Linked DNA regions of Rhinolophus ferrumequinum. The protein of the gene in region 2 interacts with the protein of the main gene of each other region in a pairwise test. Links are inferred from orthologs where the notes say so. Each region holds a gene or a part of one and is shown on either strand. Other genes may lie near its edges.

Region 1 (7,833 bases), on a different chromosome or scaffold from region 2:
CTGCGAAGGGCCTCGAGTGAGGCGGGGCTGGTCCAGCCCAGCTGCATAAGGATTAAAGCACACCAAGCACTTACCGTGGGCAAGACATCTTGGCATCACAGACATCAACTCACTGAATCCTCATGGCATTGTCACTAGGTAGGAACTCTGGGAGTCCCATTGTACAGAGGGGAAACTGAGGCACGGAGCAGAGTCAGAATTTGGCCTTCAGACTTCAGAGATCTGCACTCTAAACCTTTAGGTTCAGGTTGTCCAGTCCCTGCCCCTGATCTGTTCCCCTGAAGACTCAGGATAGAGAGCCAGCTTCTCATTCAGGGGACAGTGTGGGAGGGAAACTCACCATTTTTGTCCGCACGACGGAAAATCTGCAGAGAAGAGAAGTCGGTCAAGGCGGCCCTGGGCCAGGGAGCAGGCGCCTGCAGCAGATCCTGACCTGATACTGAGATCCCACTCCCCCCAGGTGGGCCTGGGAAGCAGAGCTCCCTCCTTCTTCCTTCCCAGGGAGGAGACCCCCATCTGGCTGGGATCCAGGGGTGAGGAAGGGATGTTTCAGGCAGAGGCGCTCCTAGCCACCCTCATGGAAAGAGCCACCCTCACGGAAACAGCCGCCCACTCTCCCTTCTGTGCCGCCAGCCTGCCCACAGCCATGCCGACAGACACATGCACACGCATGTGGACACTCGCTCACATCCATCCACATGCTTGCTCCCAGAATCATTGGTTCCACATGCTCCCAGAGCCATCGGTTCACGCGCTTCACCCAGTCGTACGCTCAGTGACGCACTCCGAATTTGTGTCCCGTGGACACAGCCATATGCCTTACACCACTGCACCCCTCCCAGAACCCCTTGAGGGCCCTGGTTTTCTGTAGGGAGATCGGGTTAAGTCTGAATGGAGGTGTCTGCTAAGGGAATCTGGAGGTTTGGCAACTGGACCAGCCATGGGCAGGATTCGATTTTTTAGGGGGTGAGGGAATGGGAAGAAGCAGGTCTCCAGGAGCTCAGAAAACCAGGCAGGGATGGGGGAAGGACAGCCACTGCCCCTACTCCCCAACCCTAGCCTGAGCTTAGAGACCAGATAACTCCCCCTCCTGGTATTCTGGGATTCCGTAAGCCTTGCTGATAGGAGACGGGGAGACACCACCACCTCTGACCATCCCACCTTTGGTCTGTCCCTGGGGTAAAGGACAGATACCCCCCCACCCCATCCCTTCAAGCAATGGTGCGGGCATCCATTATCAGGCACCAGGGGCTGTGACAAACCAAAGCAGCAGCTCAGGAGGCCTTCTTAGACATCACCCCCTTCCTTAGCTGAACCCGGGGGTTGGGGTACTAGGCAGGAGCCTCTGTGGCTGGGGCAGAAAGGGGAGCAGTTATCAGAGCACCCTAGGACCTCCTCAAAGCCCCCGTCTAGGCACCCCACCCTCAGGTGTGAGCTCTGGGCCTGTGAATAACGTGACCACATGTATGGCTCTAGGAGTCTGCGTGAGCACTGTGAGTCCCCATCTCGGCTCGTCACCCCATTTCACAGATGAGGTAATGGAGGCTCAGAGCCCTCACATGGCACGCTAGGAACCTGGAGCCCACCTCCTGTACTGTTAGAGGAGAGAATCAGGAGGGGTCTGGATGGGGGTTCCCTACAACGGCAGGCCTAGGTCTGCAGACCCCATGGGCCCAGGGCTTTCAGCGGTGAACTCTGCTTGCTAGGGTCTTGAGAGAGAGAGTCCATTGTGTGTTGGGCTGTGTATGCACGAGTGTGTGTTTGGAGGCACCAGAACCTGAAACACACCCAGCACAGCTCCACCTTCTCTACCCATTGCTCTCTGCCCAAAGCCAGCTATGGGTTCCAGGAGAGAAGGGAAGGAGAGAGAGGTAATCCAAGCTCCCCCACACTTACAGGGATGTGCTGTACACGTACACACACACACACACACACACACACACACACACACACTCCCCTCCCAGAAAGCCATCATGAACATTCTAGGCACCCCCATCTCCTCGCCACCCACCACACTGGGACATGCACATCCCACCACCATGCTGTCATGGGGCAGGGGGAGGAGAGAAAGCCCCTCCACCGCCTAGCACTCCACCGGAGTCCCCCACACCCTGCAATCCACCAGGGAAATCTCCCTCCCATTTGGGGAGTGGGTGGGAGGGTGAGGTGGGCTTCCCAGAGGTGGGCAGTTTGGTTTCCAGAGAGGATGAGGGAGGGGGTGAGTAGAGAGGGTGGAGGTGGGGAAGGGAATGGAGGACAGAGGGGGCTCAGAATGGAGTGGGGGTGGTGAAGGGGAACCTAGGGGTCCAGGCTCAGGGCGGATGGGGGTGGTTCCAACACTCTGGAAACGAGAAGGAAAGACAGAGGTGGGGAGGGGACTTCACTTTCAAAGGGGGGGGCAGGGAGAATAGGTCTTTGATTAGGGATGAGACTACAAGGGTTCAGAGTCTAGCGAGGAAGGGGAAGGTGGTCTCTGAAAAGTAGCAACTCAGCAGGGACCTGGGAAGGAGAGGCTCAGGGGGCTGGAGGCAGTCAGGGGCTCTCGTCCTGGGAAGGGATGAGGGGAAAAGGGTAGGTGCAGGGCTGGGGCAAGATGAGGGTCGGACCAGGACAAAAGTAGGGGGCGGTGGCCGGCCAAGGGGTCTCCAGAATCCCGGCTCCGAGAAGGTGGAGGAAGGAGTGGGGGTCGTCTTGGTCCGGGAATGAGACTGGCCGGGACGTGGGAAGGCTTGGGGCTCGCGTTCTGGGACTTAAGAGAGGCCGGGTGCGGTTCCAGCTCCGAGCTGCCCAGAGGGATGCGTCGGGGGTCCCCTGCTCGGGGTGGGGTGGGGTCCTCGCGGGTTCCGGCGGGAACGAGGTAGGGCGGCGTCGGGGTTCCCCGTGGGAGGAGGGGGCTTGGGGTCCCGGCGGGCGCGTACTCACGTCCAGGATGACAGCAGTGCCCCCGCGCAGCGAGGCGGGGCCGGGACAGGGGCCAGGGTCCACGGCGGGGGCGGCGGGGACGTCGGGGGCCAGCGGCGCCCGGGGCTCGCCCATTCTGGCGCCTACCCAGCGCAGCAGCCCGCCCAGCGCCCGGCCCTGCGGCGGCGGCTCCCGGAGCAGCCTGTGCGCGCCGGCCCTGCACAGGCGCGCCGCCCGCTCGCACATCGCGCCGCACCCGCCACCGCCACCGCCGCCCGGAAGCCCGCCGACCCCCGCCCGTCCGCCCCCGCGCGACCCCTCCCCGGCGCCGCTGCCCGCGCCGCCCCGCCCTCCCTCCCTCTGCCCCCGCGGCCGCGGCCACGGAGGAGACGGGCCGGCGCCGGGGGACCGGTCGCGGGGGAGGGGGGGTGCGCTCCGCCCGGACCCCGAGCCACGTGCTCCGTGTCCACCGCACCCCCCCCGCCCCCTACCGCGGCTGAGAGCGGCAGCAGGAGGCTGCCCGCGGGGGCGCAGATTTGGGGTCTAGACCCCGGCCAGGGAGGGGCTGCCCAGTAGACACGGGGTTGGTGGGAGGGTCTGCCTGCCGGGGGGCGTCCCTGGGGGCTTCCCCCACGAAAGTCTCCCGCTGCCCCCACCTAAAATCACCCCACCTGACCCGCGGCACCGCCGCAGGGGCCAGAGCGCAATGTCCAGCGAGCTCGGAGCTCCCTCTGCCGGCTCCAGCTCGGGTGATCCGTGCCCGTGCGATGGGCTTCCACCACAATTCCCACGGGCACCCATCCTTCCCTCCTGCGGGCGTTACGCCCCCTCAGACCTTCCCTCCCATTACACAACGCCCAGAACCAGTCTTCGCCCCAGAACTCCCCCTTCCCCACACACTCCAACAGATTAGTTAAGGCGCGCAGTTAGGTGCTAGGCTCTGGGTCCCAATAATGGGCAAAACAGACAGGGTCCTTGGCCTCTTGGAGCTTACAGCCCAATGGGTAGAGCTAGATACAGATTCCACAAATAAATGAATCATTAAAACCGAACTGCTATGAAGAGATGACACCTTGGGCCATGAGCTGGTAATTTGCCCTGGTGCCTAAGGAGGGGTTTGTGTCAGAAGACGCTTCCTGGGGGAAGTAACTCTTATGCTGAGAGAGTGGAAGAAAGGGGAAGAGTTAAAGAGAGGAGGGAAAAGTGGGCTAGAGACCTGATTGTGCAAAGGCCCTGTGGCAGGTGAAGCATGAGCATGAGGGGCTAAGACAACGTGTTGCAAGGGAGAATGGGAGGGGGCTTGGAAAGCCTCCTCAGCACTTCATTCCTCATACACACGCTCCCCTCACTTCTCTAGCATACCGTGTTTCCCGGGAAATAAGACCTAGCCGGACAATCAGCTCTAATGCGTCTTTTGGAGCAAAAATTAATATAAGACCCGGTCTTATTTTACTATAAGACGGGATCTTATATAATATAAATAATATAATACTGGATCTTACATTAATTTTTGCTCCAAAAGACGCATAAGAGCTGATTGTCCGGCTAGGTCTTATTTTCAGGGAAACGGCAGCTGCCTTCTCATTTGCCACACTTGGAGCATCATCGGTTGTCCCCCAAGCCCCACCCCAAGGACCTCCTCCCACCTGGCCCTGTGCTTCTGCCTGGCTCCTAGAACAGGCTCCTGGGCAGTCGGTCCCTCCCCAAGCACAGAATCCTCAGACACGTGAGTGGAGGCAGGCACTGATTTTATTTGGGACCTGATTCTAGAAGGAGTGGGGCCTGGAGTCCTCCTGGCTCAGCGCTCAGCTGGCCCTGGTCATCCCTGCTCACACTGGCAGCTTTCACCCCAAATCGCAGGTCTGGGCCTTTGCTGACCTGCAGCCACTGTTCCCAGCCTGGGCACTGGTCTGAGTCTGGGTAGCCTTGGCTCCCACTCCTCTATCCGAGAAGCCTGTTGCATGGGCTCATGGCCACTCCTGTCTCCTGCCAGGAGAGGCTCCCTTCCCTCACTGGGGCATCTTGTGTCCAGCAGGGCTGTGATGATCTCCCCTTCTCTTTAGGGTCTGGGTACGAGGATGCCAGGCCAAGGGCTAGGGCGGCTTCCTAGCCTCCTTCCTCAGCAGGGAGCTGGCCACAGCTAGGGCCCCGCCCTGCACAAACCGCACAAAGTTGTCCCCAGCCAGCGGCCCCACTGCGTACAGATCCTCCTGCTGTGTGCTCTGGTAGGTGAAGGGGTCTACGTCAATGGGGTTCCTCTTGGCGCTCAGTGGCTGGCTGGGGTCCATGGCGAGGTCAGCACCTGCCCCCGGGAGGAAGGAGAGGTCCGGGTGGGAGCCGATGAGGACTAGCACTAGGGAGACGCCGAAGACCTTCTGGAGGCCTGTGGGGTCCTGGAACATGGCCTGGCGGTCCTCCTTGAAGAGGACAGGCTGGTGCTCAGGGAGGCTGCGGTAGCCCTCGTAGGGGCTGGGCGACAGGATGGACTGCTCCCGCATCATCTGGTGGACCTTGTGGTACTCGGGGTACAGCATCTTGGGCAGCTGGTTGAAGACCAGGCCGGGGTCATCCACGGTCCGGCGGAAGGCGTGGATCACGGGGATGTTGTAATGGCGGGCGTAGAGGACCGCGTCTGCCGCTGACAGCCCCGCGCCGATGATGAGGACGGGGTCCGAGGCCGGGCTCACTGTGCCTGCTCTTGTGGCCGCCTCCAGGGCTGACAGCTCATGGTGGATGAAGGGCAGGGTCTCCCCAGGGATGCCCAGCCGCGCCGGGCTGTCGGATGTGCCGGTGGCCAGGACCACATTGTGGGCATACAGGGAAAAGGGCTGCTGGCACTGGTCCTCGGTGGTCAGGAAACCGCTCACCTGGAAGAGCGGCCTGGGGTCCTGGGCCCCAGAGCTGCTGGGCTCGGGCGTCCCCCATTCCACATTCGTGACCACTGCGCCGGACACGAAGTTGTGGCCCAAGCCCTTCTTGGTCACATAATCCCTGTAGTAGTGAGCAATGTCACCAGCTGTGGCCCGGCTGTTTCGGAGACCTCTGGGGGAAGGATGCAAAAAGGGCAGGTGTCAGATAGCGGCTGGGGTGGCGGGTCAATCAGGGGGGACAGGGGGTGACCAGGTTGGAGTCAGGCCCTGGAGCCCACGATGACTGTGCACCCAGCAGCCGTAAGAGTTGGCCAAGTGGTTTAACCTTCTCAGAAGGTGAAGTCTTCTCTTCTGTAAAATGGAGCTGATAATGGTATCTTATGGGGGAGGGGGTGTTGAGAGTGGGGCCTCCAGAGGCCGATGGCCTGGGTTCAAATCCTGACTCTGCCACTGGTGAGCTGTTTCCTGAAACTCTCTGCCTCAGTTTCCTCACTTGCAAAATGAGGATGACGATGGTGATGTACCTATGCTGTGTGGTTGCTGAGAGAATTAGGTGATGATGTAAACGAAGCTTAGAATAGAACCTGACAGGCCGTATGGGCCCGGCCACTATTACCCCGAAGGATTCAATAATAACATACATCACGATGGTGGGATCGTCCTTTTATAATGTTCAGAAACAGGCAAAACTGACCTGTGGAATTAGAGGTCAAGAAAGTGGTTGCCTCTTGGGAGGAGAAGGGGGTGGGGATTAGGAGGGGTCTGAGGGGGCTCCTGAGGAGACGTGATGGATTTCTTGAGTCTGGGTGGCTGGACGCAGATGGGTTCACTTTGAGAAATTTCATCCACCCGTACACATGTGATTTATCTGTACGTATGATATATTTCAGTAAAAGAGTTGATAAGAAAGAACCCATGTAAAGCACTTAGCACAGTCCCAGCACACACAGTAACAGCAGGAACTATTTTATTATTAATATTATTATTATTATTATTATTAATATTAATATTTTCACCACCCTTTCCGAGGCAGTGACTGTGGGCCAGTGCTGCTGATGACTCAGGTGAAAGCTGTGTGACTCCCTGTATCTACCTGTGTGACCGTAGGTGAGTCACTTTCCCTAACGGTGAACGTACTGTTAGAGATGAACTCACTGAAAGGGAATCCTAAGTGACACGCCAGCACGACCCATCGGCCAATGGTAGGGTGAACTCAGATCACATCCGCCAGCCAGCCCAACTCATTCGTCTGCTACAGAAACTGGAACTCTGGAATTTATTTCTGTGGGTTTCTCATGTCACCTTCTCTGTTTTAGTACAAATTGTTTTAAAGGATTGCCCTAAGATGTTACACATGGGGTTACTCCTAGAAACGGTGCATTGGAAAGAATGAAAGCTCCAGGCCTGGGCAGAGGCTTAGGGACTGTGGCAGCCCCTCAGGGGCAGGGCGCACATCTGTCTAATTTTTGGTTCCAACATCTAAGTACAAAGACCTGCAACGCAGATGCTCACCCTCCCTGGGGCATATTACATGGCCGTGTAAAAGGATGGTTGCAAACCCTGCGTAATCACCAAGTGAAATGCTATGACATAATGTTGAGTATTAAAAGAAGGATATGGAAGGGTATGTCTACAAGTGAAATTTAATTTCCTGTCTGTCTGGTAACGCATCACTATGTGTTGGATGCTTTCCTACCAAATGTGCAGGGACAGAAGTCTTTGTGTAAAAGAGATAGACAGTGATTCCTGAAGAGGTGGAAACTGAGTTGTCCTGAGAGGCTGAGTGCCTGCTGGGTCGGAATGACGTGCCCCTTTCACAGCTCCTGAGGGCAGAGGAACCAGGGCCTATCCCCTGCCTAGAGCACTGGGCAACTTTAGCCTCGAGCTCCAAAATGAGCAGGGGCTGGCATTTGTTTATTCGGTGATTTACCTATTTCTCCAGGATGGTCAGAGGTGTGCAGTGTGGTCATTTAGGAAGGTGCTAGAAACCAAGACGGAGAGAAAATACCCCAAGATGTGACAGCGATAGGTAGAAGTATGAGGTTGGGGTGAGTTGTCTTTC
Region 2 (7,939 bases):
GCTGGGAGAGTCAGGTGAGCCTGCGGGAGGCCTGGGTAGGCCAGTCAGAAGCCCTAAGGCAGAGAACGCTGAAGAATCGTGTGCCTTTGGGGACCAGGGAAACATTGTCACTGTCCATTGTCTCCAGATGCTGCCTAGCGAGGACACAGGAGACAATTCAGTGCAGATGTTTTGAACACCTACTGCATGCAAAGACCAAAAGTGTCCACTAACTCTGAGATACCAGGAATGGAGCTGGAAATTAACCCCCAGTCTTCATTTGTTAATGCATCTGGTTTTAAAATTTCAGCACTCCATTCCTAATCTTAAAAAGGGGCGGGGTGAAGGTATTAGTTAAATTTCTCCATTGGTTGCTTAGTTGTTCTTTTTTTAAAATAATTTTTTAATTTTGGAATAATTTCAGCTTCATAAAAAAGTTTCATCGATCGAGCAGAGGGCTCCTGTGTATCCTTCTTCCCGTTGCCTTTAATGTTAACATCTTCCATTGCCATGACATTTGTCACCACTAAGAAATCAACATCGGTACATTAGCAGTAACTCAACTCCAGACTGTACTCTGATTCCACTAGCGTTTCCACTAACGTCCTTTTTCTGTTTTAGCCTCAAATCCAGGATACTACATTGCATTTAGTATTTAGTAGTTTTTAAAGAGTAGGAAGTAACTCAATGATATGTCTCTTGTACAAGTTTTGCAAGAGTTTAAAACTTTTCAAGATAGTCAACTGAACCAGTCTGAAAAGCTTAAACTGATTGTATTTCTTTATTACACTAATTTGCAAATGAAACGCCCACACACCCAAAAACTTTACGTTCTCTAACTACAATTTGTTGTTCATACTAGTTTAGGGACAGAAATCATAAATTATATTTATTATATTTGTGTGTTGTAACAGCACAGCTGCTTTTCTATAAACTCTCTCTAGTACTGGAAAAAAAATGTTTGAAGCCAGCACAGTGGGATCTGCTCACACACCCCTTGGGATAAAAATGGGGAGAAAGTTTTCCATGTGTGGCTGCCATGGTGAAACAGTACGAAACGGAAGACAGAAATATGTCTGGTCGGCTTTTTTCTTTTGAAAGTCAGTAAAAGTTAAGCAAGAAAAATGCTCCTCTTTGGAGTCAGATCTTAGCTCTTTCTCTTGCAAAGTTCCAACTGTAGTGTTTTTAAAACGCGGAGATGCATTTCCTAACTGTAAATACAATGGTTCTCGAGCTCGCTAGAGACGTGAAATAACCACATTTCAGAATCTACCTTTACTGTTTCACTGCCCATCATCGTCTCCCTCTCCACCAAAACAAAACTCCGTGCGACCCAGATGGGACTCGAACCCACAATCCCCAGCTCCGGAGGCTGATGCCTTATCCATTAGGCCACTGGGTCACCACAGGATCCGGGTTCTCGCACCGTCTCCTTACGCGATGCCATCATCGCGCCCCGCCCTTGCGCTCCGCAGCCTCGCATCGGGCGGTGAGTATTTTGGGAGCCACCCCCCCAGCGGCGGCAGCGCGCGCCTGCGCCTTCATACATCCTTGACCCAGACAGCAGGCCCACCCCGGCGCGCGTGCGCGTGGCTCCCCTGCCCCTCTTCCCGGGACTGCGTGGCCCGCACGCGGGCGGCGTTGTGCCTGCCTGCTGGGTTCTTGGAAGGTTCTCTGCTCTCGTTGCATATTAGGCGTTTCTGGGGAACTTCAAACAAAATTCCAATGACTGTACTCCCCCCGTTGTATTTCTTTTTACCTGGGCGAGCCCGGGTGTCTGCATTTTACGAAGCTCCCATGGACCTTCTTCTGCCACCGGCCTTAAGAACCACTAGCAGAGCGTAAGGTCCTCCCGCAACCCCGTCCCCCAACCTTCCCATCCCTTACAGCCACTTCCCTCTCTTTCTTGCCCGCACGTATTCCACGTTCATTAATTTGATAACCTATTACGTACTGTGGACTGTTGGGGGATTCCAGGGTGAACAGCCTTTTCTTTAAATCTGCCCTTCTTACCCCACTCATCTACATCTATTTTCCTCCCCATCTCCTCCTTCCCTCCAGATTAAAGGGAAAATGGATATAACAAGTTTCCTACATATAATACAAAAAATATATGGGTTTCTTTTACATCCTAAAGCTTGGTCTTGGATAGATGTGGAGACTTTCTGGTTCCATGCACAATATCTCTATGCTTGTTGCATGTAAAGATGCTGTATTTGGGGTTTTAAAAATAAAAAATTTCACTTTCTTTTTAGACACGTAATACCTGTTCATTAAAACTGTGTAATATATAGGTAAACCAAATGAAGAAAACTGACCACAATTCTACCATTCAGAGTTAAGCACTATTAACATTTTGGTGTGTATCTTTTAAATCTTAGGTGTCTATGTGTCATATCACTGTTTTGTTAACCTGTGGACCACGAGTCATCGAGTCACCCTGGAAATGTTTTTCATGAAAACTGAGATATTATTAGTAAATAATAATTCATGAATCATTTAGCTCTGATGGTGCAGAAGCAATGGTAGGTAAAACTGACACTTTAGTGAATCTAGGCAGTGGCACCAAACAGGTAACAGTGGTATTTTCACCTTCCTGCACTGGGAATGGCAGGGTGGGGGGAACCAGCTTCACGTAAGAATGTCCTGGACTATGTATAAGAATCATCAGTTGAATTACGTCTTGACTCTTGAGTACATGCTGTAAATATTTTGTGTGACAAATGGGAAATATGCATAATCATTTCTGCATACCAAAATACAGTGGTCTCTGGAGGAAAACATTGGTGCAGTGTTTGAGTTGCAGGCTATACTAGCTACTTTTTCACTGGAACACAGTGTTTACTTGAAAGAATGACTGAGACAAACTAAGATTATTCAGATTTAGGGGTGGCCAGTTGGCTCAGTTGGTTAGAGCGGGGTGCTGATAACACCGAGGTTGTGGGTTGGATCCCTGCATGGACCACTGTGAGCTGCGCCCTCCTTAAAACAAAAACAAAAACAAAAAATTCTGACTTGGTCACATTTGGGTTTGCTTCTCCAGAGCAGCTGCATTCTCAGTGTCACATCATCACAGCACAGGATCACAGCACAGTCCTGTGCCAGAGAGAGGTTATGTCACTCTTAAAGGCCTCAGTAAACATTTTATTGCAGTGTCACTGTGTTAAGGCTTCATCACCAAACCAATCCCTGTGTGTGGCTGTGAGGGGCGGGGGTGGTGTATAGAATATACTGATTGGCCTAGGCCTGAATCTCCAAACTACAGTGGTTAATAGTGGAGGATGTATGGTTCCCCAGGGCAACATTGTACATTTCAAAGGCAACTTTCACTTTTGACTCTGTATTTCTGTTGTAGGTTGTTTTCAGCTACAAGTGCAGAATAGTGGTTGAGAGCATGGATCCTGGAACCAGACAGCCTGGGTCTGAGTCCTGTCTCTGCCTTTATTGGCTGTGTAAACTTGGACAAGTTACTTAACCACTTATGATTCAGTCTTCTGTAAAATGGAACAGGTGATAATACCAGCTTACAGAATTGTGAGGATTAAATGTATTAATATATATAAAACACTTAGAATATGTCTGGGCATATAGTACTTAATATTTGCAAACAAAAGAAAACTCAATTTAGCTGAAACAACAAAAGAAGTGTATTGGATGACGTAATTGCAAAGTCATAATTGCAGCCTTCAGAGGTAGGGCAGGCTGTTGATCAGAGCTTTCCTGGTTTCTCTACAACTGTCCTAGTCAAATTTCTAGGACTTATATCCTTCAGCTCCGAACAGCAAACAGCACCTGCTTTCCCACCTCCAATCATTAAACAAAAGGCATAGCCTTCCAAACTGGATGAATTTAGGTCACATGCCTGCCCCTGAACCATTCACAGTAGTCAAGAGAATACCCTGGGGTGACTGGTTTAGGAGTGAATTCCTTTCATATTTTTGCATTTAGAGGGATGGGATTCTGCTGATTGAGTAGGTGGGAGTAAAATCAACCTCCTATGAATCCCATTGCTGCTACACAATGAGTGAGGCTGGCACAAATGCCTACAAGAATGAACAAAGTTCAATGTTTGAATTTATAGTAAAAAAAAAAAAAATCGCAATATAACTTTTCTAAAAATACCCTTTTTAGAATACAGAAAACTTGCATAAAGAGAGCAAAATGGCCCATAATCCCGGTGCTCTAATAACCATCATTGATACTTTAAAAAATATACGTGGCAAAAATACAAACATTTTATTCAGAAATGTGTAAAATACAGCATAGAACATTACTGGAACGGTTGGCAAAACTTGAACACGGATACACACACACACACACACACACACACAGCAGCAGCAGCAAATAGCAAATGTGGCAAAAATGTTAACATTTGGCAAATCTGTGTAAAGATTTGCAATTCTGTATTTGAAATTATTTAAAAATAAAAGTGTCTAGAGAAACAGGCATAATAAACCTTTCGTTACCATATTTGTGGTTTCTATGCAGTCTTTTATGACGCAAGTTTTTTTAAAAAAATTTTTAAGCCACGCAAATGTGCCATATGCCTCTACTTCGTAACTCCATAACGGCCAGAAACCACTGCCAAGTTTCTTCTGTCCTATCAGGGAAAATATGCATAGCAATATGTTTCTATGTAAACATTTGTGAAGGACATGATTTTGGGAATCATTTGTAGTACTTGGTTAATCAGGGAAACGACCAAGAACTTCAAAAGCACAAATCCTTTCAAAGGCCACAGTCTCAGGCCAAGGCTGGGCTGAGAACCCGTCCTTCGTGCTGCATGCCGGGATTTGAAGTCTTTCCACTCCAAACTGCTAGGCGCTCTGGGATCGCCCGGCCGCTCCCTCATCTCGCGATGCTATCCTCTTTACGGCTAGGCCGTACGACCCCCGCTGCAACGTGTTTTTTAAATCCACCAATGGACGCACATCATAGACTCGAACCAGCCAATCAGAATGCGGGGCCACCGGGAAATTTAAATCGCGCCGGCCGGCTGCTCGAGCCACACTGTCGTCTGGCTGATCCGTGGTGTTCGTTGCCGAGTAGCGGACCCGCAGCCTGTGCTCCCCTGCGCCGTCTCCTGTGGAAGCCTGAGCCGGCTGTGTAGGTACGAACTCAGGTCCCAGCCCGGCCCGAGCGGTAACGGCTGACCTGCAGGCCGCGTTCTGCTTACGGGTGGCGGGAGGCGAGGCTCCGGGTACACGCCCGGCCTGGCTTTGGCCTCCTTGGTTGACTAAGCCTCTGGGGCGTCGTTTGTTGACGAAAGGGCTGTTCCGCGAAGTGAGTAAGTGCTTGGGCTTTAGGCCGCCGAAACTCGGCGAGTTTCATCAAGATCCTTTGCGCATCGGGGCTCGGAAAACAAGAGTGAGGCCGGAGGGTCAAAGTCCCGGGAGGGGGCGGCCGATTAGCTCAGTTGGTTAGCGATCGTGCTGGTATTCCCAAAGTCCCGGAGTGCGCCCAGTACCTCTGGCCCCTCCTGTGGCGGTTACCGGCTGTATCTTCCCCGGGGTGGGGGGCAGGGGAAGGGAATAGAGATGGAGGTGGCAGTTGGAGAAACTATCTCAACACGTAGGCCTTGGGTTGGCTGTGTCAATTTCGTAAACGAACATAAGGGAATAAAGATAAATTGTAAGGCGCTCTTTTACTTTTGTTACCTTTTGGAGATTGCTCATAAGTATCTTAGTCTGAATAATGTCAGCCTAATTAAGTGCATTTACTCGAAATTCCTGGAAATGAAAATGTAATCGAGATTCAGAATTGTGTCGCAAATTTTCAGTGTTGACAAGAAATGTTACGGGAGACTCCATAATGTAATAATAATGAACCAAATTTTTCTTTTATTTTTCAAGTGTGGAGAATGTGCCTATTTTGGCCATTTAAAGACAATAGAGAGAGCCTCCAGAGAATCTGAATGTATTTGCGCCTAGGACATAGATATTGACCGTAAGCTCAGTTCGCCTACTTTGTCTTCAATTAACTATTTACAGACTCTATATAGTGGAGTCTAGAGCCACACTGTCCAGTATATTAGGAAAGGCTTGTGGCTAATCCGAATTTTGAATGCTGTAAGGTTAAAGTACACAAAAGATTTTGGAGAATTAGTATGAAAAAAGTGTGAAATACCTATTAATGCTTTTCTTACTGACAAAGCAAAATGATAAAAGGGACATTTTTTTTCTCTCCCCATCTTATAGCTTTCTCCCTTTGTCTCATAACGATGTCCACCAACGAGAATGCTAATTCACCAGCTGCCCGGCTTAACAGATTCAAGAACAAGGGAAAAGACAGTACAGTGAGTACTTTCTGTTACTTTTGTATAGTATTTTTTGAATGGAAAATTATTTGGGAAGGGGTCAAAACTCTGAGGGAATTTGGAAAAAATGCCCTCACTTTCTAACAAAAACTGAAATGTTAGGTGAAGTGGTATGTTATCTTTTCCCAAGGAAATGAGGCGGCGCCGAATAGAAGTTAATGTAGAGCTGAGGAAAGCTAAGAAAGATGACCAGATGCTGAAAAGGAGAAATGTGAGCTCGTTTCCTGATGATGCTACTTCTCCACTGCAGGAAAATCGCAACAACCAGGTAAATATGTTTTAGCTTATAATTGTTTGAAAATATTCCTACCTTTATGGTTCTACCTATAAAATCTGTGAAGGTTTCCTTTTTGCTCTGAATCAGTAATTCTGATGGGTTTTCTTTCCTACCCATCTTCATAATCTGTTGAAGCTGATTCCAAGGTCTTCTGTAGTTTTGATCTTCAAGTTTCCCTGCGTTTACAGCTGCCAGCTCGGTACCTTGACCTGGCCATTCCAATACCACTGAAAGTGTGTCGGGAACCAATTGCTTTCTGGATTATTTCTACCTTTTGTTATTCTCTATTGTTTGTACTTGTCACCAGTTTTGTTCATGTCTTTTTCTTCTTGAAATACTGTTAGTATTCTTCTAATTTATTTTCCTTTTCATTCTATGCCACATACTATCTACCTAAAAATTTTCCTAAAATACTGCTTTAGACATATTCTTTCTTAGCTTAACAACTTTGATGGTTTTAAATCGCTATTTTCGAAGGCTGTTTTTGTAAATTTGATCCAGCTTAGATTTTCAAAGTTATCTCGTCTTTCAAAGATAATTGGGCACTTAATTGTTTTACATTATGCTTTCTTTTAGTGCTCCCCATTCTATCATTCAAAATTGAATACTACTTATGTGCTATTTCTAGAGTATTCTACTTAAATCCCATCTTCTCAAGTTAACTATAGCATTGTTTCTCAAACCTTTCTACTGTGATCACAACATAAAACATCTTTGCTGCGCTATACTTGGGAATGTGTCGATTACAAGGTTAGATAAGAAAATCCCCAGCACATTATTTATAACTCCATCCCTTGTTCCCTAAAAGCGTATCTGAATACAAGTGATTGAGATTAATGTCGGAATAACCTTCAGACTGCTGTAATTTTTTAAATTGTTCACAGTCACCTTTTTTAGTGACAAAATGCTGGGATACTCTGTAACTTGAGACTCCAGTAAGTCATGACACCAAGTTTGAGAACTGTTCAACATATAAAATAATATTTAATTAACAGGCAAAGTTAAATATAGGGCTAATACACATTTAGTAATTCATTATAAACCTTAAAATGTCTTCACAATGGCAAATAGGAATTTTATTGTTTGTATTTAATCTTACAAAGGATAATTCCATTGTTTTTGTAGGGCACTGTAAATTGGTCTGTTGAGGATATTGTCAAAGGCATAAATAGCAACAATTTGGAAAGCCAGCTCCAAGCTACTCAAGCTGCTAGGTAAGTCTTGTCTGTTATACATGGGTAACCTAAGAACTGAGCCTTTTTAGATTTTTTGGTTGGAAAGAGATAGATGGTGTGGGTAATGGTTAAGCCAGCCATAGTCCTGTGTTCGTTAGAATCTTCCTTTGGTGAAACTAAAATTTTCTGTCA
Region 3 (7,950 bases), on a different chromosome or scaffold from region 2:
GCAAGACTGTTTGTGGAACCCTGAAATGGGAGGCGAGGAAGAGCCCCCACCAAAACACACAGGAGCGCGCGCGCGCGCACACACACACACACACACACACACACACACACAGGGTTGCACCCTGGGATCCAGCCCACTGAGGCTGAGATGTGAAGGGAGCATCCCCACCCCACCCCAAATCAAAGTTTTAGGATCCCAGAATGATTTCCATGATGTGATCTAGTTCATTCCACTCCCAGGACCCTGGGGCACAGAAGAGGTTGTGTGGAGGCTCCGGTGGGGCCAGTGCAGGCTCCTTCTCCACTGTGGATGTGTCAATGTCCAGAAAAAAGTCATCCAGACCAGAGTCCCCCAGGTATCGGGAGCTCAGAGCTTCTAAGAAGACTGGATCGGGCTGGGGCAGCACTTCATTCTGGGGGCCCAGGGGGGCCACTGGATTCTGAGGGGGCTCAGTCTCATCCATGGAAGTCTCTAGCTCCCTGAGAATAGAGCCGATGGTGGTCGACAGGGAGAAGTCCTCCTCACCCAGGAAGAGAGGCTCAGGGGGCAGGGCAGGTGCTGGAGCCAGACAAAGTGCGGCCTGGAGCTGCTGGAGGGTGTTGTGGATGAGGACATGCCTGCGAAGGCTGGGTGCTCGGGGGCCCAGGCTTCGCTGGACTTTGTCGAGGGAGATGCGCAGCAGGGCTTGCTGGTAGCTTCGAAGGCCTGCCGGACCCCAGTCCCACTTCTCATCTTCCTCTTCCTCCTCCAAGTCTGAGTGTTTTCTCTTCAACCCTCCTACCATGATGCCCTATGAAGAGAAGAGGGAGGGGCACGTCAGACACAGCTTGGCTAGTTCAAATCCAGAATCTCCGATATAGTTGTTGATTTTTAATGGTCTAAACCTCAGGTTTTGCATCTATAAAATGGAAATAGTATGAATCCCACAAGGCTAAGGAGAGTAAACGTATGTATGTGACTACCGTGTTTCCCCGAAAATAAGACCTACCCCGAAAATAAGCCCCCGTTAAGATCTCAGCCAGAAGGACGCATTTAGTACGTTATGACTATGTTCCAGAAGAAGACGACGTCACTGTATTTGAATAAATGTAGATTATTGTACATGAAAAATAAGACATCCTCTGATAATAAGCCCTCATGGAGCAATAATTAATGTAAGACCCGGTCTTATTTTCAGGGAAACACGGTAAGAAAACAAGACCTGACCTTAAACACAGCTGGGTTTGAATCCCACTTACTTGCCTGGGTGGCCTCAAATAGTGAATTTTCCTCCTTGAGACTCAATTCTTCATCTATAAGTTGAGGTCCCTAACCCAAGTCCTCCTGACTCTTAAAATTGTTCTTTCCACAATACTCATTTCAAATGTGACACACACAAGACAGGTGGGGAGTACACAGGCCTGGACTGGAAGCAGGAAATCTTCGGTTTTAATTCTGCCTTTCACAGTGCTCAGCTGTGTGATCTTGGAAAATGATGTGACGTTACCTCTCTGGGCCTGTTTCCTCATCTGTAAAATGGGGATTGTAAAAACTCTCACTGCATCATCAAGGAGACCCCACAGGTAATGCACAGGACCCACCACTCAGGAAATGCTTAATGAACAAGAGTTAATCGCTATTTCTTCATTTGATAGTTTTATTTATTGAGTACTTGCTATATTTGAGCAACTGGAGCCTGTTAGGGCACCTATTTGTCGAGACTCTTTCACAGAGTATATTTCTGGTCATTTCCCTCTTCTTAACTGACTGAAAGCGCTCCCAACAACGGGAGACAGGGCCTCGCATTCCCTCCGCCCGCGCGTTATGCTTCCCCCACACAAGAGCCCCACAGAAAAACTTGCTAGAACTCGATTCACGCCAAGCCCCGCCCCTCCTGACCCATCCAACCAAACCACGGATCTCTACAGGCCCCGCCCCCTCCAGGATCTTCCCTTCAGCAGCCACGCACGCCCCAATTTGGCCCAGGGGCTTGTGGGAAATGTGGGCCAATAGCCACCAGGTACCTACGTTAACTTTGAGCTTGCACTACAATCCCCAGAGAGCTCCGCAAGCCACCGGGACGAACCTCCCCCGCCCTCCCTCAGGGCATGCGCAAAGGACACCGGGGGGGGGAGTGGGGGAAGGGAACCCGGACGTCCAGCTGCCGACGCCGGCCCAGCCCCGCCCTCCGCTGCCTCTAGGGCTGTGAGTCTGAGCTCCGGGCCCGGAACACCCCTCCCCCACCCGACACTGCGGCTCTAACACTGCTTTCTCCCGGTCCTTCAGACCTCAGAAGGTCCTGGATTCTTCCCCCTAACTGCTCTTGGGTCCAGGCCCCAACACATCGCTCAAAGACTACAAATGCTCTCCGATCCACTCCGTTCGGGACAGTAGGTATCTCAATTTTGAGACCTTCCCCCGTCAACTTTCCCCTATATTCCCCCGACTTTCAAACGCCTCTAGACTTTTACCTCTGAACTCCCGCTCCGGCTCCAAGATCTGAACATGGATCTGTCCCCCAGCACCTCCTCTCCGCCACTGCCTCTGGGAAACCAAGATTCCTTGCCCCTAGTCCTCTCGCTTCTCCAAATGCCCGGGATCCTAGCCCCAACAACCTCACACCTTTTCCAGAACACTAGAGAACCGAATTCAAGCCGTCCGGAGACCCGAATTGTCCTAATGTCCAGATTCCCTGCCCTAAAAGTTCCTTCTCTGGATCTCTCAATTCTCCAAATATCCCACGGCCCAGCTTCAAACTCCCTCCACTTGAAGATCTTGCCCCAGCAACTTCGCCTCCTGTCCAGAATCTCGAACTCGGTCTCCGGTCCCCAAACCCTATCAGTCACTTTTAATCTGCGTCCCCCACTCCAGCCCAGACTCCGCCTTCACCTCCCCCAACCCAAGGCAGGTCTCAAGCCCGGCGGCCACCCCTCACCTCAGCTACAAGGTTCACAACGACTACCTCCAGGAACGTCAGCAACTCTGCGACCCTCCAGGGCTGGGTAGGGGCCTTGCTAGCCTCCCGGGGGCCTCTCCTTCTGGCCTGGGACTCACCCAGCTCCACCTCGGAGCCGAGCCGCGAGCAGCGATTGGGTGGAGTCCCGCCCGCCGCAGGGCGCGGATTGGCTGGGCGGAGCCACCAGCCTGTCTCCTGGAGACGGCTGACCCACCCCTCCCTTCCCCGGCGCCCCGACCATTTAAAGGATTCCGACTCTCCAGGGGGCGGGGCCATGTCTGTAGGGTGGAAGGTGGCGGGGACATCAAAACTGTTTCCTTTAAATCAGCTACTGTCCTCGCTCCAAGATCGTCAGCGTTACTCTCTTCGGTCCCTTTATATCAGACCCGGACACGGTCACGGAGCAAGACTGGTGGGCACGCTCCCCCCCATCCCACTTTCTGGGAGGGCGAGGCTAAAACACTCGCGGAGGCCGCGCCCTGGGGGTTCCGAGGGCGGACGCTGCCGGGCGAAGGACTACGCCACTGGAGACCAGCCAGTAGTTTGGCGCGGCGTACGTTGCTTGGGCGACCGCAGCCCGCCCCTCCACCGCCCCAGTCTTGCTCGAGGCCCCCCTCTTAATCTTCAGGACTCCTCAGCGTGTCCTCTGGTGGCAGGTCCGTTCCGCATCCTCCTGACGCTCCATCCTGCCTCTCTCAGGATGGTACCTCCGCTGCTGGAGACTCGTTCATGGCTCCCCACTACCCTGGCGACTAGAAGTGCAAACTTCTCGCTTTCACCTCAAAGCCCTTCACGGTCTGGCCTGATTCAAACTTCCCCCTTGCTCCCTACCATTCTGCCATGCCAGTTCACTTTGTTTTTCTAAAATGGCTTCAAGTGCCCTCCACCATCATGAACATAGAGATTTTATGTTTTCTTCCCTGCCATATCCCCAGTGCCTACAACTATGACAAGTACAGAGAGTACCAAAAATATTATACATTTTAAGACAGGAAAACTTTTAAAATTGTAATACTCAATATATACCAATAACAAAAGATGACTACAAGTCATGTTTGAATTTTGCAATTACAAGAGGTGCTCAAAGTGGTTACCATCAGTGTCCAGACACTTCTAATTACTGTGAACTACTGCTTGAGCAACATTGACCAAAGTGTCCACTTGTATACATTTTTTTGGCACTCCCAGTATATATACTCAAAAATGAGAACAAAAGGGAGTAAATGTACGGTAAGGGATGGAAACTAGACTTTTTTGGTGGTAAGCACACAATAGAGTACACAGATATTGAATTATAATGTTGTACACCTGAAATTTACATGTTAATAGCCAATGTTACCTCAACAAAAGCATTAATTACTGAAAAAGGTTTCTGGACCCTTAAACTTGTTTCCCCATTTTGAAACTACATTAATTCCCAGGCTGCTTCTCCTCAGGACTCAACTCAAAGGTTTCCTCCTCTTGGAAGTTTTCCCTGATACACCAGTATGGGTTGGTTCCCATAGTGTCCTATGCTACCCCATTGAGGAGCCCTGACCCCTCTGTCCATGCTTTGCCCATCCTCAACCTGGGCTGTCACTGTCTGGATTGTGGGCCCCCTGAGGACAAGTACCAAGGTTATCTGTGTCACCCACTGCTTGGTCGGCAGCATCACTTAGCACAGGGCTGGACACAAAGCAGGCAAGCAGTGAAAGCTTGTTAAATGTCCAGACAATATCGCAGAAATAAAGAGGGCACAAATAAAACAGTGCTACTGCCCTGAAAGTCTGAACCACCCCCACAACAAGTTTTCACCAAGAGGAGGGAGAGGCAGTTTTCTCCAGGCTACCCCAGACCAGTTCTCACTAATTGGAATATGTCAGCCAAACCATCCTGTTTGCCGAAGAAGTACAAGATTGGAATGGATTTTGTGGGTGGTGGGGTGTTGGGGGGGTACGTGGGGAGAAGCTGCAGGTAGGAAGAGAGGAGTGGCTCACTCAGGCCTGGGCACAGTGTCTCTGGGGAATAAAGGCAGGGGACAGTAGATTCCAGAGGGACATGATTACGAAGGGGCAATTCTTCCCCCTCCCCCTCCCAAACCTGCCCCTCCTCCAGGGTCCCTCATCTCAGGGAGGACCCACTGTAACCCAGTCCCCAGGTTATAGGCCTAGGCTGCTTCCTGAATACCAACCACCCCTCCCCCATGGACGGTCCACTTAGGTTCTGCCCCACTCTTCCCCTCCTCAAGGCTTCTGCCTGGTCCTCCCGGGCTCCCAGCCTCCATTCTTTTCCCCCTCCCATCCACCTTCACACAGCAGACAAGGGAAGCTTAAAACACAAAGCTGACTGTACCTCCTCCCAACCTCTCCCCTGCTCCAATCCTTGCATAAAACCTCACAATAAAGATTAAACTTTTTACAGTGACTGCACAATTTAGCATCCATGGAACAGCCTCTTGGCTTGACCACACCTCACCTCTGAGAAAAGTATTATTAACTATAGGGGACAGAATTTAGTTCTTCAAACAGGTCAAGTGCTCTCCAGCCTTCTGGCCTTTGCTCATGTGGTTCCTTCTGCCTGGAGTGCCATCATTCCTTAGGACCTTCTCCTGGCTCATTCTTACCAAACCAGGTTTCAGGTGGGGAATCCCCTCTTCAACAGTCTTGTTTGTTCCCTGTGCTGGGTCAGGTACCCTCTCTCGCTTCCCGCAGCCCTCTATGCTTCCTCCATCAGAGCCCTGGTCACTGTGGGTTGTCACCCTCAGGGGCAGGGTTGTCTTCCCCACTGGACTGTGAGATCTGTGAAGGCAAGGCTCATGGCTATCATGGTCACCACTGGTCCCTAGCACATGGCTGGGCGCAGAACAATAACTCAATAAACTGTTACTGAGGAAATGAATGAAGGAATACCCAGAAAATCTTACACAGAGGGCAGACAGAGACACTGAGACACCTAGACAAAGCCAGAGTTAGGTCTTCTAGAATAATTTGAAGTTCTTGGCTCAAGATTTATTGCTTCCTTCCTTTGTTCTCCATTTCCCAGCATGCTGTCCTCCTGGACAGGGGCAGATCCCTAGTCGTACTGGTGGGAAGGGTAGGTATTGTGCCCATCATACTCATCAGTGGTGAGGCAGCGCAGCATGAAGTGGCCCAGATCATGTTTGGAGATGACCCTTGAGGGCCCTCGTCCATCCAGGGTCACTGAGTAGGCTCCAGTCAGTGGCTGGTCTCCTGCTAAGTAAAGACAGAGAGGCTGGGTAAAGCAGATGTCCTTTCCCATCCCCCAACACACGATCACGCCAATGACGGTCCCAGGGGGCCTCAAGTGTGCCCAGACTGAATGGTATAAGAGCCAACGATTAATCTATACCATTTACTGCATTCATCTGACAAATCTTTATTGATGACCTATTATGTGTCAGGTGCTGGGCACCCAACAAGGGACAAAACAGACACGAATCCCTGCATGCAGACATTTGCTAGGTAAAGGCAACTAACAAGGTAAGAAAGTAAAATAGACAATATGTTAGATATAGAGAAATAAAGCAGAGAATGGACTAGAAACTATTTATTAACTCTATTTCACAAATGGGGACACTGAGTCTTGGAGAGGGCAAGTCACTTCCCAGTGGCATAGGCTAGATTTGCTCTGGGTCTCTGTCTGGATGCTTTCCTTTCTCTGGACCCTTCTGGGAAGACTGAGTGACATGTCCCAGGCATGGGCCTGCATTTTATAGGCAGTGGAAGAGCAGACGCATTTTTCTGACCTTGTGAATATGGAGCTGGTGTGTCCTGATGCCACACCTAGGTCTTTCTTAGTGGGGATGGCAGACACGCATGACCTGGCTGTTACAAGGGTATCTACTGGCTGAATTATAATAATTTAAAAACAATACCTGCCAGTGACCAAATTAACTTAGGGGACCAAATTAATTTAGGGATCAAATGCAACAAACCAGTACAGGGACAATCTGGAATCATGTGCAATAAGAAACACATCCTTACCCACGTGGTATTCCTACTAAAAATGATTAATCTGAGTCTGTGAGAAAAACCACCAAAAAAATCCAGAGTGTGGGACATTTAAAAAGACACCAGGCCTGATGAATTTTATGAGAAACATTAAAAAAAAAAAAAAGGATATGGAGGATTGTTCCAGATCAAAGATGACATGGCAACTAACTACAATGCCTGATCCTCAATTGGATCCTGATTTGGTGGGGAGAGGGAGATTGAAATAAACTTTTTGACAATTGGGGAAATTTGAATATGGCACGGACACTAAATGATATGATAGAGTTCATGTCAATTTCCTGGTGCAATAATGGTCCTGTGGCTCACATAAAACTATCTTTCTTCTTGGGAGATGCCTATCTCAATAGGAATCAAGTGTATCAATGTCTGCCACATACTCTCACATGGTTCAGTCAAAAAATACTTTGTGTGTGTGCATGTGTGTGTGTTAGATGCATGCAGAGATAGTTGGTAGCTAGATAGAGCCAGAAAGATAGAAAGTAAACAGGGCAAAATGTTACACCTACATGAAGAGTTTATTCATAAACCTTTAATTCTTTCAACTTTTCTGGAGGTTTCAAAGTTTTCACACATACACATACAGAAAAAAGAAAAACTGGGGTGGCCGGTGGCTCAGGCAGTTGGCGCGCCGTGTTCCTAATGCAGATAGGGCTGCCGTGAACAGCCAGAGCTCGGTGTGAGCTGCCGTTTGCTGCTGTGTGCCAGCAGCCTATGGCAACCGACTTCCTCAGCTGGGGGGAGCGCAAGGCTCAAAGTACCAGCATGGGCCAGGGAGCTGCACCCTACAACTAGACTGAGAAACAACTGTGCTTAAAAATTGGGGCAGGGGCAAGAAAAAAGAAAAACTAAAAAGTTTATAAACTTTTTAAAATAACTGTTTTAAAACTCTGTTTTAAATAACTTTTAGGCATGACCTCTCTGGGTACTTATTTCAAATCTAGTAGGTCAAGAAGTTATCTGATGAGCCCCTGCTTGCAGATAGGGAAACTGAGACTCAGGGGC
Region 4 (7,875 bases), on a different chromosome or scaffold from region 2:
ATCTGTATCAAGTTCCTCTCTAAAGTACAATGAACATAATGTAAAAAAATATAGGGTTCCAAGTGAAAAAAGCAAGCTTAGTATTTGTACGCTAAGACTTCTGATACACTTAGGTACAAAAAATATCTTGGATGTGTTCAGATGGTAGTGGTACGGGCATTTTGCTGCATTGTGGTTACTCTGATACTTCAACATTTTTATTTCACCCAAATGAGGCACACTTAACAAACTACATAATAACTTCCTTTTAAGCAGTCTGTGAATCAATGGTATAACCTTGGGCAAGATACTTAACATAGCCAAGCCTCAGTTTCATGTATAAACTGCAGATGATAGTACCTATCCTACAGGGTTGCTATGAGCATTACATGAAATATGGAAAGTGCTTGGCATATAATAGCTACTTGATGAATAGCTGTTATTATTTTATCATTAAAGGTAGGTAAAATTTTGTACACCTTGAAATACAACAGCAATGCAGTACCTGTCATCTGAGTTAGAGGCTATTTTTATTCACCCATCAAACAGGCCATTTATTAAAAATTTACTACAAATGACTACAGCTACCATTTATCGAGCACTTACTCTGGGCCAAGGATTGCGTTGACCCCTTCATTTGTAATATGTACCAAGGTTGTTTTTTAAAAAAAGGCAATGAACAGTGTTGGTCCTTTGAGCAGGAAAGGCTGAAAACACATCAGAAGTTCTAGCAGTACCTTCTCAGCTTGATATAAGGCAGGGTTATTTTAAATACTGAAGACAAGGTAGGGGTTATAATTTCCACTTCACATGTGAGGGGGTTAATTATTTTGCCCAAGTTCACACTCACTTAGTAGTTAAATCCCAGCCTTTCTGACTCCAAAGCCTGCACTTGAGTTTATTTCTCCGACAAAGCACTGTGAAGAATACTGCAGTGGAAACCAGAATCACATAGGGGCCTGCACCCATGGAGTTTATAATCTAGCTGCAGAAAAAAAGCCATTTTACAGCATAGCAGCATACAATTGTAGTATTACCTGCATTCCTCCAGATCTTGTAATTGCTGCATTAGTCTATCCAACTGTTCTTCTAAATTCTGCTTTAATTTGCTTGTCTCTGTCTTTCCTCTGGAAGCCATTTTAATCTCTAAGTAGAACAACAAACTCACATAACAGTATATATTTGGTTATTTGAAATGATTCAACATACCAGTAAAATTTAAAATAGGCTATACTCTTTCTGAGCTACAGGTGTGGGAAAGATAGTTGCGCAAAGAAAATCTCAATTTACAGGTAGAAGTTTAAACTCATAGTAATAACACTCCACAAAAATGCCTGGCAGTCTTCTTAATTGACTTGAAAGATTAGAAGTCTTCACTATTGGTCTACCTTACTTTAAACAAATTTGATACACGAAAATACAGATTCATAAAGAAACAGATCAGGTGTGACTTTGCTTTACACAGATTTGTTATAACATTCTTTTTCATTCTTAGTAAGTATGCTCCAGGACTCTTGCTAGTCTTATGTGCATTTAACTAATGCCTCGTAGGCATGAACAACTTTTGATATGAATTTCTTCTTTGGAAATGTGCTCGTTTTTCTACTGCATTATCTCCCACTTACTGATTTCTATAACATGGAAATGACGACTTTGTAATTATGCTGTAAATACTATCTTGTCTCCTGACTTTAAATTCTATTTATGGTGTTTTTTGTGATGATAAATTATTATTTTTATTAGCCAATTCTGTCTGTCATCTTCTTTAAGTATTTTTAGTTTTGTGCCCCATTAAGGCAGGTCCGAACCATCTCAAGACTTAAAAAAACATACTATTTTGTATTTGAAAACTTTAAGCCACTGCAACTATTTTTTGTTGATGCTGTGAAGTAGGGGACTTTTCTTTCAAATTGATAGTCAATTGCCCCAACACTATTTACTAGTCAGTAATTATTTATGCCACCTTTAATGCATTCAATACAAACAGACTGAAGTCTGTTTCATTGATAATATTCTGGTCCTAAGGCTTTACCTCACTATTTTAATTATTATAGCTTTAGAGCTGGTATATACTGATAACTGATAAGAAGTTGTTTTTATTACTGTGGGTTCCCCCCCCAATAATTCTTGGTTATTCTTATGCATTTTTCTTCTCTAGATGAATTTAAGCATCAGTCTGTCAAGCTTCCTTTAAAATTCAATTGAAATTTTGACAGGGATTACATTAAAATTAGAGACTAATATGGAAAAAAATCTGTATCCTTGAAATTGAATCTTTCTATCAAGCAATAAAACCTCTCCATTTATCTGAATTTTCTTTTATAGTCTTTAAAAGGAAAAGTATTCTGTTTTTCACAAAGGCTTTGAACATTGGCTATTCTTAGCTATTTTTTTTTTTTATATTGGGGATAGTGTTTTTGTTATTACAATTTCTGATTATTGCTGGTGTAGAGAAAAGCTGACTTTGGTTATTGGTATTGTATGTATTTACCTTAACGTTTATAGCATTTAAAACAAATGTTTTTCCACTTATAAAAATTAATCAAAATGTGTTTCCTGAAAGGAAATGTAAGTCTAATATTAACTATAACCATTCATCAAAATCTAAATCCTAGGGTAACTTATTAAAGCATTTAAAATTTTCCTACACATTATCATTATCAGATGATTTGATATGAAAACGTCAATGCATAGGATTTCTTACATTCTGTTCAAAATAGAATACAATCAATGAAAATCTATTCTTCCTACCGTATCTTTTAAAATTGGCTTTAATCATCTATAATCATTAATGATATGTAAACATAAATGAGTTACATTATTGCCAAAAGTGTAACTTACTACAGCTATGTTTCAGGTATAATAGGTTCATGTATAATAGGTTAGTCAGAAGTGTAATTTATGATAGTTATGTTTCTTGTATAATTTCTCCTGGAAATACATATTTAAATTTTATTTTAAATCTGTTGAATTTTCCAGTAAAAGTTAAAGCAAACCCAAGATAAAACTGTAAGTGTCTTTTCAGGATTAATTCCTAAAGTCTAACTGCTGAACTACTTGCTGTTCCAAAACATGCCACACACTTCTCATTTTTCTCTACCTATCAAGCCCAAGTCATTCATTCTGCAGAGTCTATCTCGAGTTTCACCTTCTCCATGATTTCCTTGGTTCACCATCATCACTAGATTGTAAATTGAGAGTAGGGCTTTCTCTTTCTTTCTATGTACAGTAGCAGCATCTAGCACAAAGCTGGGCACAGAAAGTATTGGATAAATAATTGGTAAATGAATAATGAAAATTGCTTCTTCCACGCATTTCATATCTTAATCTTTGTTTAGCATTTATTTCTGCCTTGAATTATATGTGAGTTCATTATAACTCGTTGTTTGTCTTCCTCTCTAGACTGTAAACACTCTGAAAGCAGGAAACGAATCTGATTACCCTCAGCTCCCTCAGCACTTAACACTGAATAGATGTTCCACCATTGGATGAAGTATATAAAGGCACAACATATTTTATGGAGGTAAAGCTTTCCTAAATAAATTTCAGATGGAGGCACTTTAAAAGCCTTCACCTGATGCTACATTGAGATTCATCCCTGAAAGATTAACTCGCTGGCACCACCTAGTATTCAATAAAGGTGGTGCATCTTTTACCGAAACAGCAGACATGGTTCTTAAAAACTGTCATCTGGAGTGCAAGGTGCTCATTCAGGCTCACCTGTCTCTTAGTCGTCCTCTGAACTCTGCACAGTGTTGACCAGTCTCAAATTGCATAAACCCCCAATTCTTGAAATCCCAAGTGTCATAAACTTGAGGAAAGCGAAACTGTTCATCCGAACTACAGGAACCTCAAAGTTCAAACCACCTGGGCGTGGCGTTGGCTGGAAAAAGAAAAACCATTAACGAGCAGTTGTATTTACTATATATAATCTTGGCTTAAAGCGGTCCGGATAACTTCCACTCGAGCAGCGTACAATTGAAACACACCCCTCTCTTTCCAGGAAGACATCAAGGGGGCAGGTGGGGAAGGAGGGAGAGAAACCCGTTTTCTTTGTCGATTGCGCCTCTGGCAGCCTTTCTGACATTTTTCTTACAAAGGCGAAAGTGTAACTGAGGGAAACCCCGCACCTGTAACGCCTCGAGGGAAGTTATCACCATCCAGAAGCACAGAAAAGATAAGGGCGGAGAGCACACCTTTTCCCGTCTGGAAGAGAGCAGCGTTTGGACCTCAACCATCAGGAAGCCCTCACGGAGCAGCTCTGACCACGGCCCCAAACCCCATCTTCACGGGAGAAATTTGAAGCTCCCGCATTTGGGTCTTGAAGCGGCCGGGCTCGACTAGGCCCCGGGTGCCACCAGACGTCGCCGTAAACCCGCCGCCCCCCAAACTTTCCGGGTCCTCCCGGACCAGGACCTAGACAACTTCCTCAGAATCTCGGGGTTCTCTCTCACCCTCTGTCCACCAGTCCCCAGAGTTCGGAGCCAGGGGCCCCGCCTACCTGAGGGTCCAGAGCTGGCGGACGCAATAATGTGGTGCATTTCCGCCGAAAGTAGGCACTTCCGGTCTCCTGGAGCCAATGAGGGTGAGGCTGCGGGTGTTCCCCTCGCTGGCTTTCGGGCTGCGTGTAGTCTTCGATCCAGTTGACCCTGAGAAAGGGGTAAGTCTCCCTACCCCGACTCCCCGAGTCTGTAGGGTAGTCAGTCTACCACCCCTTTTGGTCGCAAGCAGAAGGGAGGCCGAGATGATGGGTCTTTGAAAGTCAAATACAGCGGCCCCCGAGTCAAGGTCATATTCGAGTTTGGGGCGAGAAGGCTTGCCCCTTTATTCTTTCGATCTCTTCGTGGAACCCAAAACCTCGGTAATTTTGCCTCTGGGCTTCGGAAGAGGTGACTTTAGTAAAAAAAAATAAATAAAAAAAAAATTTTTTTTCGTCTCTAGAACAGGCTTCTTGAGCTTGGCAGAGCTGGTGGGAGGCGGAAGAGGAAGTCCTCCATTCTGAACTTTTTCCTCCGAAATTACTCTTTCCAAATCTATAAAATATTAAACCCACCTGCTTGGAAGCGGTTTGACACGCACACCCTTTGAGAAGGAGACTACTAGCCGTTGGGCAGCGCTTTTTAAAAAGTTACTTTGAAATTGGGTGGAAACCGTTTTCTGGTGTTCCCAGCCCATTTTCTTGAAGAGTCAGTAGTCCACAAGACAACATTAGGGTTTAAAACAAAATTGTTTGAAGTGTTTCCTTTAAAACTAATTCTTTTTCAAGGGCCCAGAACAAACTTCCAACTACCATTACTGTAGAACTCTGCCAGAATGAATTATTTCTGTCAGTTCTGTATAATTGTAAAATTCCTTACTTATGGCCATAAATTGTTTTTCACAGTTACAATTTGGATGTGAAGCCACTGTTTCTAGCCCCATTTAGAAAAGACTGTTGACTTACAGGTTGGAATAGTTCCAGGAGCCTACCCTGCGAAACACTCCAGAGTCACAGGATGCCCTTTGTAAAAGTAAGTGACGGTTATGTTAATGTGATTACCTCTAATTTTGATATGTGAATGTGTGTGGAAGTGTCAGCATTTTTAGTAACATGGAACTCTCAATGACAGATAGTTGGGGTCAGTGCCAAGCAAAACAAAACTGGGAAATATACTTTCTTCTTTCACCATTTGAAGAACTTGATGAATAAACATTTGCTCACTGTGCACTTCCCTTAATTTAGAGGATGATAATACAGTGTTCTATTCAGGCATTTGTTGGTTTTAGTGTGGGCAGCCTTGAAGCTGTGGAGGAAGGGCCTCACCATACATGCATTTTATGTCCTTGCTCTTCTTCCTCAGTGACTTAATCTGAACCGACGGTCCTGTGCTGACTGTGTTGTTGTTTTTTTAAACTTTTATTTATTTAAGTGTGTTTTTCCGGGACCCATCAGCTCCAAGTCAAGTAGTTGTTTCAATCGGGTTGAGGGCGCAGCTCACAGTGGCCCGTGTGGGGATCAAACCGGCCACCTTGTTGTTAAGAGCACCGCGCTCTAACCAACTGAGCTAACTGGCTGCCCCGCTGAGGGTATTTTTATATGCCTGTGGGTTCTCGTTTAGAGTTAATGGAGAATGAACAAGTGTCCTTAGTGCATAAGTAAGAGAAATTGGTTTGAGTTCCAGTTCTCAAGCAAATATAGACTCCAAACCTTGGGGTGTGGGGAAGGGAGAAAAGAGAAGAATTTGGAAAAAGGAATGATGTGTAAGGTAGGTAGTCCTGGGAGAGAGCACTGGGGAAAATAACCTCAGAACTGGGAGTCATCACTGAGAAACCAGATACGGGAATACTTTGGAAATACCACAGAGATGAACCTTGAGTGGCGAACAAGAAGTACCATGAGCCAAAGGGTCTCTGAACAGGTGGATCCCTTGTAAATGTCTACTGGAAGATAGCATTGTAAGTCTTGAGTGATGGCTAAGCATGAACTTTTAGAGTCAAGGTTGTTCCACGAGCTGTGAGAGCTTGAACAAGTTAATCATCCTCTTTGAGCTTCAGTTTCCTCATCTATTAAAAAAAGGGATAATAATAGTACCTACCTCATTGGAGTGTTGTAAGGATTACATGAGTGTTTAGCACATTGCTTGGCAGAATTCAGTGAATATCACTTATTATTATCATTATAGATAAAAAGGCATAAATGGATATATGTGTACATATTTATAGGGAATAGGCCCATCCAAAGAGAATGAGTGAATAAAACGAGGATTCCATAAGTGGGAACGCTGAAGCTTTCCGCCCCTCTGCTGTCAATTTCCCAACCCTAGGCAACCACTGATCAGCTTTCTGTCATTACAGATTGCATTATCTGTTCTAGAATTTCATACAACTGGAACGATACAGTGTGTACTTTTCTGTATTTTGCTTTCACTCAAAATAATGTCTGAGATTCGTTCATGTTATTTGTATCCGTAGTTTGTTCCTTTTTATTGCTCAATGATATTCCATTACAAGGCTATTTGAACTTTGCTTATTCATTCATTCATCTCTTGATTAACATTTGAGTTGTTTCCAGTTTTTGGCTACTGTGTATAAAGTCAAACCATGCAATTCTTTCAGTGGACATGTGTTTTCATATCCCCATTATTTTTAAGTTATCCTCTTAATTTGTACCTAGAATCCTTTCTTTATGGCTTCCTTAAGGACTTTCCTCCATCAATTATTCACATTCTTGCAGCTTCTGCGGCTTCCTAATGGTGCTGTCCTCTCAATCTCCCAACATTCTAATTCTAGTCTTCAAAAAAATCAAATCAAATAAATAACCTTCACTTAACTGTGATATCCCATTGAAGCCAGGGTTCAGTATCTCTGGGTTTTACTGTCAGGTTCTAGTCTATTTCTGTTTGCCTACTAGATCTCTCTACTTAAATATCCTGTGTGTGCCTTAAATTCAACACGTGTAAAACAGTAGTCTGTCTTTTTATGCCTTGCCTCCCCACCTCCCAACCTGTGCTTCCCGGTGCTGTCTTTGTTGGCGCACCATTTACCCAGTCACTGAAGTCAGAAATGTCCTCCCCGCTCCTCCTCCCCACCTCCTCCATTCAGTCACTTGATCCCTTGGCATCATTCCTCCTGTTATTACCCTTTATTATCTCTCGCCTGGACTGATAGAGTGCTCCAAAGTAGTGCTCTGCAAACTTTAGGGTGCATGCAGATCACCTGGGGATCTTGTTAAGATGCAGATTTTGATTTGGTAGGTGTAGGGTAAGGCCTGTGATTCTGCATTTCTAACCAGCTCCCACGTGATGCGCATACTACTGGTCCATTCTGTCTTCACTGTCTCTCTCAGTAATGTCTGGTCCATTCTGTCTTCACTCTCTGGAATGTCTTTTCTATTTTGTCTTCACTCTCTCTCGGTAA

The links.
Region 1: the proteins of KPNA2 (region 2) and NECAB2 interact in binary tests that used the Homo sapiens proteins (3 or more experiments, as listed by UniProt). The two-hybrid records come from large-scale screens. The link is inferred for Rhinolophus ferrumequinum from reciprocal best matches to the Homo sapiens genes KPNA2 and NECAB2.
Region 3: the proteins of KPNA2 (region 2) and SERTAD3 interact in binary tests that used the Homo sapiens proteins (3 or more experiments, as listed by UniProt). The two-hybrid records come from large-scale screens. The link is inferred for Rhinolophus ferrumequinum from reciprocal best matches to the Homo sapiens genes KPNA2 and SERTAD3.
Region 4: the proteins of KPNA2 (region 2) and NMNAT1 interact in a two-hybrid assay, tested with the Homo sapiens proteins (3 studies listed by BioGRID and IntAct). The two-hybrid records come from large-scale screens. The link is inferred for Rhinolophus ferrumequinum from reciprocal best matches to the Homo sapiens genes KPNA2 and NMNAT1.

What each region holds. Positions count from the first base shown.
Region 1 is NC_046298.1:29,517,903-29,525,735, reverse strand, and holds the start of NECAB2 (N-terminal EF-hand calcium-binding protein 2), read right to left. Parts: upstream 3,148-7,833; coding exon 2,923-3,147; intron 366-2,922; coding exon 341-365; intron 227-340; exon of another isoform or gene 106-226; coding exon of another isoform or gene 75-105; intron 1-74. Other genes in the region: OSGIN1 (oxidative stress-induced growth inhibitor 1), read right to left, coding at 4,995-5,943. UniProt on the Homo sapiens protein: May act as a signaling scaffold protein that senses intracellular calcium.
Region 2 is NC_046304.1:43,076,534-43,084,472, reverse strand, and holds the start of KPNA2 (importin subunit alpha-1), read left to right. Parts: upstream 1-4,931; 5' UTR 4,932-5,089; intron 5,090-5,831; exon of another isoform or gene 5,832-5,925; intron 5,926-6,176; 5' UTR 6,177-6,199; coding exon 6,200-6,274; intron 6,275-6,425; coding exon 6,426-6,563; intron 6,564-7,697; coding exon 7,698-7,786; intron 7,787-7,939.
Region 3 is NC_046298.1:39,118,620-39,126,569, forward strand, and holds the start of SERTAD3 (SERTA domain-containing protein 3), read right to left. Parts: upstream 3,035-7,950; 5' UTR 2,915-3,034; intron 2,524-2,914; 5' UTR 2,487-2,523; coding exon 2,451-2,486; intron 1,509-2,450; exon of another isoform or gene 1,239-1,508; intron 791-1,238; coding exon 188-790; 3' UTR 1-187. Other genes in the region: BLVRB (flavin reductase (NADPH)), read right to left, coding at 5,987-6,147.
Region 4 is NC_046292.1:6,559,067-6,566,941, forward strand, and holds the start of NMNAT1 (nicotinamide/nicotinic acid mononucleotide adenylyltransferase 1), read left to right. Parts: upstream 1-4,506; 5' UTR 4,507-4,639; intron 4,640-5,362; 5' UTR 5,363-5,474; coding exon 5,475-5,489; intron 5,490-7,875. Other genes in the region: protein LZIC, read right to left, coding at 1-19, 1,017-1,117.